2 linked regions of the Tamandua tetradactyla genome follow. The protein of the gene in region 2 purifies or fractionates together with the protein of the main gene of each other region. This does not show direct contact. Links are inferred from orthologs where the notes say so. Each region holds a gene or a part of one and is shown on either strand. Other genes may lie near its edges.

Region 1 (7,897 bases), on a different chromosome or scaffold from region 2:
AACTTTAGGGATGGATGGCTCTGGATCCAAGTCCTACTGTACCATATATGTTACTTCATTGAGCCACAGTATCCTTGCGGGGAAAATAGGATTAACAACAATAATAATCACAACAATAGAGTCGTGAATTAATGCACATAAAGTACTTCAGACAGTACTAGCACATAACAGTACCCCTCCCCAAACTGTAGATGTGTACATGTGTGTATTTATATGCGTGTATATATATAGGTACATATACAAACTCATGCATGGCTATATACACATGAACATACAGAGAGTCACACACACAACTTAAGATCTCACAGTCAAGTAAAGAAGTGTTCTTTCTAGAGAGGAAATGAAATTGTCCCTAGATGCTGGTTCTTTGTTCACAGCCCAGAACCTTCATACCTGGGAAAAGGTGAACCTGTGGGTGGCTTGGCCAATTCCTCGCTCATTGCTTTTCAAGGCAAAAGAGTCCTTAGGTGCTTGTAGAACAAGAGTCTCTCCATTCTCAATGCGGACACAGCTCTGTGGGTGGGGAAAACAGTTGTCACAAAAGGAAGCATTCCTGGGAACTACTTCTATATTACATCATTCCATCTTGAGTCCTTCCTCCTCAGATACTCACCTGATCTTCCTGTCGTTCCAATTCTGAAGGTAACAAGGGCCTGATCCTCAGGTATACTTTCACTTTCTCGGTACTATCCTCAGATGGAACCTGTGGCAGAATTTCAACCCAAAAAAACAGATTAATCATCTGAGCAGATAGGCAAACATAGCACCGTTCTTAGGAATCATGCTAGTGATTCTACCCCCTTCTACCCCAAATGTCTCTGCAGGTACTCTTTGCTTTCACAATCATCCCAACTCATATGGACTTTTTCACTACTCTGTCACTCTTCCCTATCTCATCAGTATCCTGCCACTGTTCATTGCCATACTGATTATCTCAGAATTAGTTGACTGGTATGAAAGTCAGAATGTGATATTAGGGCAAAGCACAGTAGTTAAGCACTATAAAGGCAGACACACCTGAATTTGAGTCCTAATCCCATCATTTAATAACTATGAGACCTTAAACAGATTCTTTAAATTCTCTCTGCCTCAGTTTTTTTCATCTGTAGAATGAGGTTAATAATAGCACCCACCTCATTCATTCTACAGATATTTAGTGCCTATCATGGCTCAGGAATTTAAGAGGCTCTAGTAGTTCATAGTGAGGGTTATCATCAAAGCTCCTGCCCTTTATGAGAAAGAAGACTTTTGAAGACAAGATGTGACAATGTAGATTCAGTGTTTAACATAGGGCCTGTCTAGTACAGTGGTTCTCTAGCAGGGCAAACGTTCCCCCTACCCCTCCCCAAGCTCCCAGGGACATTTAGCAATGTCTGACTTTTTTGGGTCACCAGTTGGTTAGTACTACTGGCATCCAGGGGGTTGAGGCCTGGAAAGCTGCTAAACATCTTATAATTTCCGAGACAGTCCCCCACAATAAAGAATTATCCAGCCCCCGATGTCAATAATGCTGCAGCTGAGAAATCATGGCCTAACAAAAAGAAAGTCTCAATAATCGTAATGATGGTTGATATTATTAAAACCTGAGTGTACATTTCACCTACTTAATGGCAGTATGACCTTTTGCAAATTATTTAACAGGACTGGGAGGGACATGATGGTATTTTATTAATGCAATGCTAATACTAATTCTTCTTATTGAAACCCAACTCTACATTTTTGACTGGTCATTACCCTTCACTTTGAACCGATCTCTCAGAATCTCAGTTTTGCTTGCCTTTGACCTAACACCCTGTATAGACAACTAGTAGGGTGGAGATATCACTTTCTTACCCCAAGCCACGCCCCAACTCTGTTACCTGTTGCTTGTTCTCCAGGGAAGTGGAGATGACAGAGCAGTCTGACAGTAGGTCTTTGCGTATCACAGACCCTAAATCTGCAGCTGTAGACTCAAACATAGGGGAAACTGCGAGTTCCTCATCCGACAATAAGCCGGCTGGTGGAGAAAGGATCCCTTGTGACATGTCGGCAGGGACAGCTTTGGTCTGAAAAGAGACAAGAGTGGGTAGGGAGGAAAACTTTAAGGACAGAAGGGGTTGCAAATTCTAGGTAAGAAGCAATCCCCTTACCCTTGGAAACCTGGTTTGCCTGCCTGAATTCCTATTCCCTTTTCCCTCCAAATACGGGGAAGGGGTTGAGAGGAGGAGTTAATCTTTGAAACCTTTCTGGAGAGGCATTTCCGACCTTGAATAGGAAAGAAAAGAGATACACCTCCAAAACTAGAAGGCCAGTAGGGTACCTCGCCTTTCCGTACTATGGGGCACGGGCAGAGTCAAAGGTCAGGATCCCCAGGCTCCTTTTCCAACCTCTTCCCAAGTCCACCACGAGGGCAAAGGTATTAAGAAAAAAAGAGATGGTGGCGGTGCCCCCTTCTGAAAGCCCGTTCTGCGAAATCAAGAGCTGATAACCCGGGCTCCAGTCGAGCTGCACACTTACCTGAAGCCGCGACACTCGTTCCCGCTCCGGAACCGACTCACTCATTCAGCTGCGGATCCTGGACCTTAGCGGTCCGCAGCACAACTCCGCCCACGAGGCGCAGCTTTGTTACTGATACATTGTTTTAAATTACGCGCTCCGTTCACTCGGCCAATCAGACAAAAGAGCCTGCAGCTACCAATCAGCGCAAAGAAGGGAGGCGGGCGAAATAGGGGACTTCTGCTTCTATTTGACCTCTCCACTCTCACGTGGGTCCGGGTTACCAACTGTCGGAAATTTGGAATCGAGTCACTTCGGATTCGTCCGGCTTAACCCTTTAGCGTAACCCCTAGACATTTCATTTCCTAAGAAGCCTGAGGCTTCAGTTGCCATCCCCTGTCCTTCCTTAGCAACGCTACTTTAACTTGCGTACTCCGTTGGGGGAGGTGGGGGGGGGTCGGAAAAACAAACAAACAAACAAACCTACATTTCCCAGGAGTCATCGCGAACAAACTCCCGTACTCGATTTCCCAGAGTTCTCCGGGATCCGGTCCTACCTGACTCACACTCTTCCGGGATAGTAGACTTCGGGGCCAAGATGGCGGCAGGAACGGGCAGTGAGTGTCTGCGCTACTTTTGAGCGGAAGGCCATTGTAGAGCCGAGGCTAGGCACCAGATTTCAGTCTAACATTTAGGGAGTGGTTGGGGTGGTTTGGCTGAGAGCCCAGGGTGTCCAGAGACCTGCGCTTGACGGCGTAGTAAAGGCCAACGGTTGGGGGCCCGAAGTATAGGGTCCTGTGTCTCAGGGAGGGAGCGGAGGCGTAAGGGAAGTATTTAGCGAATCCCTGTATGTAGGGAGCTCCGCGGAGGAAGGCATAAAGGCGCTCTAGAAACTTGGGCGTGCAGACGCAGATTCGGCCATCATACGGAGGGGCTGGTGTCTCAAACATCAGTTCAGTTTCTAGCGAATGTGTTTGTGAGGCAGTGGAAATGGGGTCTTTTAATCGTGAGCTTTTTCTGCCACCGGGAAAATTGAGTTTCGTACATCTCAATTATTTTCCTTATGTTTAATAGGTAGAGAAGGCCTTTTAGGCCCGACAGTTGGGGGCGGGGTAATGAGACTAGTAAACAGTTTTATGCTAAGAAGGAGGCGGGGCAGCAGGCGGAGCTAGCCGCTCGGAATCCTGGGAAATAAACCTGTATTTTTAAATTAGAGAAAGTATTCTTAAAATTGGGGCTTTCGAGAAAACTTTTTCGGCTTAATACGTCATTTCCTATCTTTTATTAAAGCGGAGCTTGAAGCCTTGGGTTTTGAGGAAATCAAATGTTCTCCCATATACCACACACCGTGCAATTCTCATGCAAAGAATAAGTACCCCCCACCCGCACCCCGCACCGTGATACACAGCTATTTCGCTTTAACGGCGAAAATCCAGATTTGGTGCTATAAGAGCCTACTTTGTGCTAACAAGTTGGGTGTTTTGTATTAGGCTTTTAGTTCTCTGGTGCTTAAAACTCGTGTCTCTGGTTATCTGTATACTCTTTCTCTACTTTCAGAACACAAACTGTTGAGTTCTGGCCCCACAGAGCCATGGTCCATCCGGGAAAAGCTGTGTTTGGCATCTTCTGTAATGAGAAGTGGAGATCAGAATTGGTACGTTATCCATGATGTCTGTCTTGGGTCTTAGAACTGCTGGGTATTTTTTCCTGCTGTTGGATATAGTTAATGAATTATATTTAATTAATCTATATATTAATCTTTAAGCATCTTTTTTTTTAAACAGAGTTATTGAGATGTAAATCACCATAAATAATACAACTCATTGGTTTTAAGTATATTCATAGAGTTGTGCAACCATCACCATAATCTAATCTTGGAATATTTTCATTACCCCAGAGAGAAGCACTTAACAGTCAAGCTACATAACTTCCTCCACCCCACTCCCATCCCTAGGCAACAGCTAGTCTACTTTCCGTCTCTCTTGATCTGCCTGTTCTGGACATGTTGGTTTTCTGTGACTGGCTTATTTCACATAGGATAATGTTTTCAAATTTCATTTATAATATAGCATGTATCAGTACTTCATTCCTTTATGTGGCTGAAAAGTATATTCCATGTATAGATAGCCACATTTTGTATGCTCATAAGTTGGTAGAAATTTGGATTGTTCCCACCTTTTAGCTATTATGAATGATGTTGCCATCAATCTTTCTTGTTTTTGTGTGAACTTGTGCTTTAAATTCTTTTGGGTATATTAGGAGTGAAATTCCTGGGTCATATGGTAACTCTGTATTTAAGTTTGAAAGAACTGCCAAACTGTTTTCCAAAGCAACCACAGTTTTACATTCCCACTAGCATGAATGAGTATTCCACTTTTACCACATCTTCACCAAGACTTATTTTTGTCCTTTTGTTTTTAACTATCCTAGTGGGTGTGAAATGGTATCTCATTTGGTTTCGATTTGCATTTCCCTGATGATTAATGGTATTGAGCATTTTTTCATTTGCTTAGTGGCCATTTGTACATCTTCTTTGGAGAAATACCTATTCCGATCCTCTGCCCTTTTTTGGGGGGTGTGGGGGTGTGCAAGGTCTGGGAATCGAACCTGGGTCCCCTGAATGGAAGGCAAGCATTTTACTACTTAAGCACTTGTGTACTCTGCTTTGCCCATTTCTTAGTTATTTATCTTTTTATTTTTGAGTTGTAAGAGTTCTTTATATATTTCAGATACAAATCTCTTATCACATAGATGATTTGCAAATGTACCAGCAATGAATGAATATTCTGATTTCACCATATCCTCCCCTTCTTACTCTAGAGTAGTCTCCATTAAGTTTGATATGTCCTTTCATAAATTTTTCTATGTGTGGTTTGTGGACATGTTTAAATTTTTTTTTGAATAAGAATAGGAACATCATATATACATAGTTTTTAGCTTGATATTTCATTTAAGACAGTATGTGGGTATTTTTCTGTCAATACACTAGATATGATCTTATTCTTTTTAAAAACTCAGTAGTATTCCATTGGATATACCATAATTTGTTTTACATTTGTCTTCTACGGGCATTTAGGGGTACAGTTTTCTCTTTGTATCAGTATTTCTATAGGATAAGTTCCTAGAAGTGACATCGCTAGATCTGAGATATGCACATTTTCAATTTTAAGAATCTTGTAAGATACTAGACTTCTCAAAATTTTTCTGTTTAAAATAAATTGTATTTATTTCCTTGTGTGTTTTCTCATTTTATGAAAGGTACGTATAACTGCTAGTCAGATAGTTATTTCAATAGATGAGAAAACCAGTATGAGCATGCTTTGTTGGTGTTCTAGCTGGTAGCAAATCTGACTTATTTTATTAGCCTGGCAGAGTATCCTAATTCTAGGTAAATATACAGCTGCCTTTATACTTTTTTTTTAATAATAGTAACATATATACAAAATAAAATTTCCCATTTTAACTCTTTACTTATACAATTCAGTGGTATCAGTTAAAGTCAGTGTTATGCTGTCATCACTATCCATTCCTTATGATTTTGGAAGTATTGAAAGCAGCTCAGTAACTTCCTTTATTGATTGACTGTCCTCACCCTAGCAAATAAGAGGGTACATGAAGTAGTTTAAGCATTGTTTAACAAGACCTTGTGAACTTTGTTACCGTCAGAATTATTGACTCTGTTCTGAGTTTTCCTTTATTTTGTTTCAAATATTTCTTGTCCTTTTTCTTTTTAACTAGCCTGTTCTTAAATGAACAGAAAATTGCTCTCAGTAAAACTTAACTATTTTCAAAATTGATGAAAAAAATTTCCCCTTTGGTAGACTGCAAGCCTTTCAGTATTTTTTTAGGGGGCTTGGTGACAGAGTTGGAAAACTGCTTATAGGTAACAGGCCCCCAGAATTTGTTAGTATCTTAAGCTTGCTTGCAAATTTTTTGGGAGCAGTAAAGTCTGTGTTAAGGGAGGACCAGTCTGTTTTAGGTAGCACCTATTGTTGAGCCAAATTAAATGAAAAGCCCCGAAACAGAATGAATCATACTCGTTTGCTAAACTTCAGATTGAACTTAAATATAACTTGATTCAAATATAAACCAAATTCATTAAGTAAACTGCTTTGAAATAACCCAATCTTCATTTCCTCACATTTTTATTAGAAAAATACTATAAAAACACTTAAGTAAAACCCTGAAATTTTAAATTTTATTTAATTTTTTGAGGAGAAAGTAAGTCTTAAGGTTCAAAATGCAAAAAGATACACAGTGTCTTGCTAGGTCAAAGAGTAAATGAATTTAGAAAATTTGATAAATATTTCAAGTTGTCCCCCTTAGAGATTGTTTCAGTGGATACTCCCATTGGTAATATATAAGAGTATCTGTTTTTCTATTTCCGGTGTTATCAGGTATTTTCGATCTTTGACATATGAAAGGTAAAAATAGTATCTTATATTTAAAATTTTCGCTTATCATATATTGAGTGAAGTTGGACATCTCTTTGTATGTTAAAAATGCACATTTCCTTTTATGTATACGGTCTTTTGCCCATTTTTGGGTTTGATGATTAGCTTTTCTCTAATTTTTGGGAGTTTGTATATAGTATTACTAGATATTATATATTTGACTGAGCTATGAGATGTAACTTTTTTTTTTAACCGTTGTTCCATTTAGCTTTGCTCAAAGGTGGCATTTTACCTTAAGACTTTTAAAATGTAGTTTATTAATATTTTTCTTGAATGGCTTCTGGATTTTGTGACATAATTAGAAAGTTCTTCCCTACTTTGAGATTATAAAATTAAATAATTCTCCTCTGATTTCTTCTAAGTACTTTCATGGTTGCCCTTTTTTTAACATTTAAATCTTGATTCTTTGGAATTTATCTTAGATTAAGGTGTAAATTATGACTTAAGCTTCATTTTCCTGATGACTCTCTATATAACAATATTAAACTTTTTGTAAAGGAGAAAAGTTCTATGATATTATGCCAGCATAAAATTGTAAAACTTTTTTTCTTTAACGTTATGAACTATTTCAGCCACATAGAAAGTGTGGAGAATGATATGAGTGCCCATGTACCTTAATATTAATATTAGCAAATCTTAATATTTTATCATGTTTTTTTATTTTAAAGAGATAAACATAGATGCGTTCAAAGCCTGTTTGCATCCTTCCTTGATCCCATTCCAGCCCAACTGTTTTTCATTTTTGCATATTTCTTTGTTTTGTTTTTCTGCTTACAACTTTTGAAAAGGTTGTATGACTGTAATCAGCAGGAAATTGTCATTTTTCAATTACTACTATAAATAGATTCTTTGTTATCACATGCATTTTTAAATTATTTTTATGGGTTGTTTGGTTTTCATAGAGTTGAAGTACTAGAAGTTAAGCATTGTGGACATTTAGGAGAAACCCAACTTTCATCAGTCTGCAA
Region 2 (7,049 bases):
CCTGAATGCTAATCACTAATTTATTTTTCTCAATGGAAATTCATTTTAATACAAAAAATACCACACTATTCTACCTAATCTGAAGAGAAATTCAAGATTTTTTTGTTTTTTTCAAAGAGGAAACCATTTCTAAGATACACAGTAAGTTTATAATTACATAAGACATGAATGTAAGGCACAGGAAAGCTAACACTTTGGTTTGGATCACGACTATATCCTAGTTGCCCAAACAATACCTGGCATATACCAGGCATTGAATAAATATTTGATGAATGAAGGACTAAGTCTGAATAGTCAGACATAGTTATAGCATAATCTTACTCATATAAAATTAAAAAATTGAAAGGAATTACATCAAAACATTCAAGAACGAGTATTATGAAAGACATTTCTCTTTTTTAGTATTTCCAAATTTTCTAGAATGCTTATATATTAGGTTTACTTTATATGTATATATACTATTTTCACTTTTCCCCCTACTTATAAACTAAAGAAAAAATGTAATAAAGGAGTGATTCTTAAATTAGTAGCTTAGTATGAGAAATTGCATAATATAAACTTACAAGAAACTTCCAATAGTGGCAGAAATGTTATTGTAGCTGTGATTTGTCTGATCACGGAACGAATTTCATCTTGGATAGCTTTCTGAGACTTTTCTCTGGGTGCACTATCAAGAAAATCAAGTCAATTCATTTTAGGTTTTAACAAGTCATTTAAAATATAACAATAGCAATAGCTAAGATTATCTGATTAAATGCTTCTGAAATAAGTAATGCATCAAAAAGAAGTTTAAAAAAAGAATGAACTTAGTAGGTACAATAAGCATCATTATTTCATCAGTTCTTCCAATCATAATATCAGGTCATTTAGTATCAGATGTTTAGAAAACTGCCAGCATCTCTGAGTTAGGAAAACTTCAAGACCTCCTAAAATAAAATTAATAAATGGTATCTAAAATCATTTTGGTACAATCATTTTGACATTTTTAATAATGCTTATATATCTACCTCCCAATTGCTTCAAATAAAATATCAAATTAGTTTCCTGAAATACACTAAAGGCTTTAGAAGCAAACCATGCTCCATAATGAGAAATAATTATGCTTCTGAGTTTACAGAAAAGCATATGTAGGACAATGGTGGACATCAGCATATAATGACAGGCACTTCTTATCCAGGCATTAGATTTAGACTTTTTTGAAGCACCTTAGGAAGTTCATAGCTTAAAGGAAATGCAGCAGAGCTGCATGTTAAGCTGGGGAGAGCCTAGGAAAATCTCTTACAGTTAAGAGTACCTTCAAGCACAATTCCTTAAATGGTCCACTTAGTACATCTTGCAATTTCACATGTAACACCATAAATACTAAAGTTATAATTTTAACTCATTTAGGAATGAAGACAAGTTTTGGAAAGAATACATCAGAGTAAAAATAATTTTATTCATACCTCTCATCTTTTGCAGTCTTGTCACACTCAATATCAAACTGCCATCTTTCAAGGACTTCACCACTTTCAATATTTGAGATGACCACAACCAGTTTTTGAACTGAACACTTGTATAACCAATCTGCAACACATAATAAGGCATTTATGTTTGTTCCACTACATTGCAAAGCAACCCTGCCTTTTCAGGTCCTTTTCCCTTTCTCAGCAAATTCTTACCACTGGTCTTTTGGAACTTGTCTCATTTGCTCAGATAACTTGTCCCATTAACAACCCAGCTCCTGTTCTAGTTCATGTAATACAAGATGCTGAGGATAGAATAGCCCCATTCAGAATGCAGAAGGGTAGGATTTCCCTCAATCTATATATTATTTGCTTCTTCTCATTGACAATAACAATATTTGAGAAGGTAGTTTGTTTTACCTCTCCCAAAGGGCTGAAAAACAGTCACCAAGATGCTAGAAAATCTGGATCTCAGAAGGGATGCAAAACTCAGACTGTTTACAACTAACAAATACCTTTTAGTTGGTCCACTACATTATTTAGGTATTTTATGAGCTCAGGATCTGTAGTTACAAGCAAGGTGAGTCCATATTTCTGCACTCGAGTAAAGGTTTCAGATGGATAGATGCCACGCTGATATAAAATGCTATTGATTCCAAAAGCTGAAAGCAAAAGAAATGTTATAGAAAAATCATTATCATTTTGTAACTTTGAAAATGAAACATCTATATAGATGTGGATAGTTTCATTAATGCTCTAAAACTGGAAACATGAACACGCAAATACCCCTACTTTCTTGAAAGCAAAATAGGTACAAAGTGGCATTACAAATCCTTGGCAAGACTTTGTCACCCTGTTTTCTCCCAAATCTTGCCAGGCACCATCAGGAGTCCCGACTACAGAAAGCCTGATCAAGAACACTGCTTCCCACAGTTCACGCTTGACTCAGAACTACCTGGGGGTGGGGTGCGGAGCCAGGAAAATATACACAGGGACCCACTGCGTCGTCCTGTGCCCTAAGCCCTGGAGTCCTCGGTCCCAGGGAAGGGCCGAGGGCGGGGCCGGCACTCACCCCCGGAGAAGGGCCGAGGGCGGGGCCGGCACTCACCCCCGGGAAAGGGCCGAGGGCGGGGCCGGCACTCACCCTCCGGGGCCCAAGCTCCGCCGCCGTCAGCAGCGCGCCGGCGCCAGTCTCCAGGACCTGCCCCTGGCTGAGGCCCTTCCTCAGCAGGAGGTCCGGAGGCTGCGGTCGGGTCGGTTCGCGACCGCCTGGCGCCCGTGGGCTGCCCCTGCCTCAGGCCCCACCTCGGCCTTCGCGGCGGCGCGGCCCGGGCCTCGCCTCTCCCGCCCGCCGCGGGAGTGGACTTACAGAAGAACTCTGCCACGACTTCGGCGCTCCCGCGCAGCGTGATGCCCTGCTCCCGGGAGAGCTGCCGCGCCATGGTCCGGAACAGAGAACGCTTCTTGAACAGCGAAGAGCGGCCACGGCGACCACAGCAGCAGTTCCCGCCGCTCGTTTCAAAAGTAACTACGCCGCACGCCGGAGAGCCTTTGCGCAGGCGCGTTGAGCCTCCACTCCTCCCTCCCGCCTCTGCGCAGGCGCGGCGAGCCTCCACGCCTCCCTCCCGCCTCTGCGCAGGCGCAACGAGCCTCCACCCGCCCTCCCGCCTCTGCGTAGGCGCGATGAGCCCCCTCCCGTACGCCTACCGCCCCACGCCGCGAAGCCTGTGCGCATGCGCGATCCCCTTCCGCCTCGTCCGGGCTTTTCCCGCAGGCGCGTGGGAGAGCGTGGCGCTCTGTGACGCGCAGGTGTTCGCGCGTGGGTCCTCTGGTCGCGTCAACTAGATGAAGCCGAGGGAAGGAGGGAGATCCTGATGATGTGGTCGCTCACTAGGCCTGTGGATCGCACAGGCGAGGGGCACACCGGCCCGCGGGACTGCCCGCCTGAGGCGAGGCGGCCGTGGGGACGCCGCCGCGACCCTGTGGGAAGTCGGACCATTCTCCCGACGCCTCGGCGAGTCGTCCTCCGTGTGTGAGAGAACTGGCCGGGGGTGAGAGGGCGAGCCCAGCCCGAGGTGGCGGAGCGAGTCCGGGCCGCGCCGGGGTGAAGGTCATCCCGCCGCGAGGCCGGTCGCGCCGAGGACGTCACGGCGGACTGGGCCCACACGTTCCGGGGCTCTGCCCGTTTGGGTGGGAGGGTCCGGAGATTCTGCACGAGTAGTCCCCATTCAGTTGTGAAACGATTTTCCTTTGAGACAGCCGGGGAATGGGCTCGTAAAATGCAAACCGAGGACTTTGACGTCTACCAGATGCTATGTTTGATTACGTAGGACGAGAAAGGCCTGGCAGTGTGCTCATGTTCTCGTTGCTGCCTAACACATCCCCGAGTTTTCACTAAGACCCCCATTTAGCCCTCGGCCTGCGGGTGAGAGTGCGGGAAGGGCCCGCCGACTCGAGCTGAGATCCGGGTGTCCGCACGCTGGGGCTCCGTCGGAGGGCGCGGGCCCCTCGGCCTTCTGGGCCTTCGGGTTTAGTCCTGAGGTCCAAGTGTCCGGCCTCTGCATGGACTCTGCCGTAGGCTCCCTCCCTTGGGGTCTCTGTGACTCCAGGACACACCTGAGTAGGTCAGGTCCGCTCAGACAATGTCTTGGTTAACTGGCCCCAGAAGTGACCTCTCTGTGGACGAGCTCTGCAGGCGGTCGGTCACATGGCCTGCTCGCCAGGCGACTGGACTCGAAGCCGTCTTGAAATCCCAGGGCTGGATTAGTTTGCAGAGCGGAGTGTGTGTGTCATGGGAGATGGGCAGACTTGATCCAGTAAGGTCTTTTCCTTACATCCTTTTAGTCTGTGTTTTGTTTTTAAATGACCAGTTTTGGTGTGAAGAGCAAGACATGATGGAAGGTGAAGAGTGAAGGGGCAAGGAATCTAGATGTCTCTCACCCTTTCTACCGGAGCTTGTGCTAGGGCTAGAATTCTGGTATCAAGCGTTAGGGCAAGGCACCCACCTTTTTCCATTTAAAAATTGCCTTTGTTCTTAAGAAACTTTTTGCTAAAAGCCAGCACTTCAGGAAAGACTTCCTTGGGTTTCATGATGATATGGGTTGTAAATTACTTGAAAATGTTAAGTAATTGTGCTATAACAAATTTAAAGGTTAGGAAAATATATGAGGTTTTCATGTATAGAAGAAATATTTATTTAATGTTTTCTTTGTACTCTGAGAAGATATAAGAAATGAGTAAGACTTGGAAGACGTGGTTTATGCCAATAATTAATATTGTTTAAATATGCATTCTCTAAAAAATATTGAAGGCTCTCGAATTTGATCTTTTCTGGCTTTTGCCTACCTCTGCAGCTCCCTTTCAGATTACTTTTCTAATTTGTCTGCCTCTTTTAGTAACTTTGCATTCCATTCCCTTTTCCACCTCAAGGCTTTCCATAATAGGCTGTCTTCTACCTAGAAAGTTTATTTTGCACTTGTGAATCCCTAATATGCTCACACCCCTTCTTAACGTAAATGAAGAAAGTTTCTGTGACCTCTCACGTTAAGGTCCTTTATGTATTCTCATAGCCTCTCATAGAATTGCTTAAAAGCGTTTGTTGCATTGTAAATAGTTATGTAGTGATTTATATTATATATTCCCTATTTTTGTGTAGGATTGGTGATGGCATTTAGTGAGTGCCCCACAAATATTTGTTGAATTAATAAACATTTGAATATTTGTCTAGAAAAACGAAATGGAACAACCCAACAAATATTTTCATCTGAGAGCAGGTCGGATGGATGAGGTAAGGCCACTTTTAGCCATCTTTGAATACCCACCTGGGTTGATTAAATTAGAGGCATCATGGAGTTCTGGATTCTTAGGGTTGACATAAAAACCTAGCACTAGTTATGTAAAAATTTCTGAAGGTAGAATCAAATGGAATTTTAGAATTGATGTAGCTTAATTAATGACTTAGTTGCATAATCTGAAATGAGAAAACTTAGGTTCATATTGACTGTATAATTATGCTGAGTTTTTAGTAGTGAAATCTATACAGTACCTGACTTACTCTTAAAAATGATGTCTGTTTGAAGATATGCTTAAAGGTGCTCTTTTTTTTTCTACATGTTACTTTGAAAAAATTAAATGAAGTTTAGGCTGTTTTTTAACTCAATAGTATGTATACATAACTTGTTACAAAGATTGCAGTTCAACTCCAGTTTAATAAATTTTATGTTAATACAGAAATAGTTCCAACTACCAGAAGATGGCACTGCTTGCATGTGAAATAATGCTTTTTAAAAATTCAATCCGAGTGTCTGTTTAAGTTAAAGGTAAAATAAATAAGTAAATAAAATTATTTAAAGCAGGAGTAGGCAAACTAAGGTCTACTGGTCAATTCTGAACCAAGGCATATTTTTGTATGGTCCACAGCTAAGAATTTTTTGAAGAGATTGTTAAAATATAAAAAAGAGAAGACTATGCAACAGACCTCTGTGGTGCAGAGAACTTAGCATTTATATTCTAGCTGTTTACAGAAAGTTTGCCACAAAACTGATCTAAAACACTGGATAAAGTAATGAAGTAAAAATGAGTTCGGTAGTTTCTGAGGTAAACTTATATATGGAATACTTAAATGAAATGTTGCATCATACTATATTATATAAAACTGATTTTCCTTCTTTTAAACATTATATGCACATATACACAGACATATTTATACATACTTGTATATATGAAATCTTAGTATATTTTATGTTTACATTTAATTTTCATATTAATTTATTACCTGGAATTGAAAATATTTCAGTAATCATTTTCTCATAGACTTATGATAGTTTCCCATCAAATAGCCAGTTATTTTATTTATAAGGTCAATATCTTGAAATAAAGCAGTTTGTTCTAAATCTGGTAAACAGTGGTGTACTTTTCTGTATGATTCCTTTGATAAGACATACATCTACCTATTTGATTATGCTTGTTTGTAAGATTAACTCTTGTTTTTTTAGAACATTTTTGTCCTAAATCTTAGGATTATTCTATGTGTTATATCATTTAGATTATGTCTTATTTTATGTGAAGGACAGGAATGAAAATAAATCGGTTATTTTTTACTCTGATTACTTGGGCTTCATTTTGTAGACCTAATATATGTTTATATATTTTTATATACTTAAGGATTAAGCTGAAAATACAGATCTTGTAAAGTTCCAATTTCCCTCATAGTAAGTTTTTGATCATTGGCCCACATGTCCCAAAGATAGCACAGTGAATTTGAATCATGACTTTTCATAGATAAGCAATGGCTTAATACAGTAAAAAATAGGTTTTGAATGATCTAGTTGTATATATAGGATTTAAAAATTTTATTCTTAGTACAAATTAAGTGCTAAATATTAATAAAACATGTTAAGATGAAAAACCCTAAGTTCATAAAATGAAAATACAGGCTATTTCATAACAGAAAACATGTTGCATAATCCTTTATTATGATAGGGACATATAGCCACATATAGAATTTTCATAGCTCAAACATGATTAGCTACCAAAAGGTATACTTTCAAAGGTAAATAATAATATCTTGATTTAATTCCCAGAGCCTTTTTGATGGATACATTA

What was found. Proteins that work in one complex are often made in the same cells at the same time.
Region 1: the proteins of MAD2L1 (region 2) and KIF20A purify together in Homo sapiens (affinity purification with mass spectrometry; 4 studies listed by BioGRID and IntAct, with this or other methods). This does not show direct contact. The link is inferred for Tamandua tetradactyla from reciprocal best matches to the Homo sapiens genes MAD2L1 and KIF20A.

Annotation. Positions count from the first base shown.
Region 1 is NC_135346.1:17,854,129-17,862,025, reverse strand, and holds the start of KIF20A (kinesin-like protein KIF20A), read right to left. Parts: upstream 3,018-7,897; 5' UTR 2,963-3,017; exon of another isoform or gene 2,763-2,962; 5' UTR 2,542-2,762; coding exon 2,497-2,541; intron 2,046-2,496; coding exon 1,860-2,045; intron 704-1,859; coding exon 614-703; intron 514-613; coding exon 394-513; intron 1-393. Other genes in the region: BRD8 (bromodomain-containing protein 8), read left to right, coding at 3,074-3,092, 4,033-4,129. UniProt on the Homo sapiens protein: Mitotic kinesin required for chromosome passenger complex (CPC)-mediated cytokinesis. Following phosphorylation by PLK1, involved in recruitment of PLK1 to the central spindle. Interacts with guanosine triphosphate (GTP)-bound forms of RAB6A and RAB6B.
Region 2 is NC_135348.1:48,646,104-48,653,152, reverse strand, and holds the start of MAD2L1 (mitotic spindle assembly checkpoint protein MAD2A), read right to left. Parts: upstream 3,043-7,049; 5' UTR 2,888-3,042; coding exon 2,815-2,887; intron 2,108-2,814; coding exon 1,961-2,107; intron 1,567-1,960; coding exon 1,446-1,566; intron 668-1,445; coding exon 564-667; intron 1-563. UniProt on the Homo sapiens protein: Component of the spindle-assembly checkpoint that prevents the onset of anaphase until all chromosomes are properly aligned at the metaphase plate.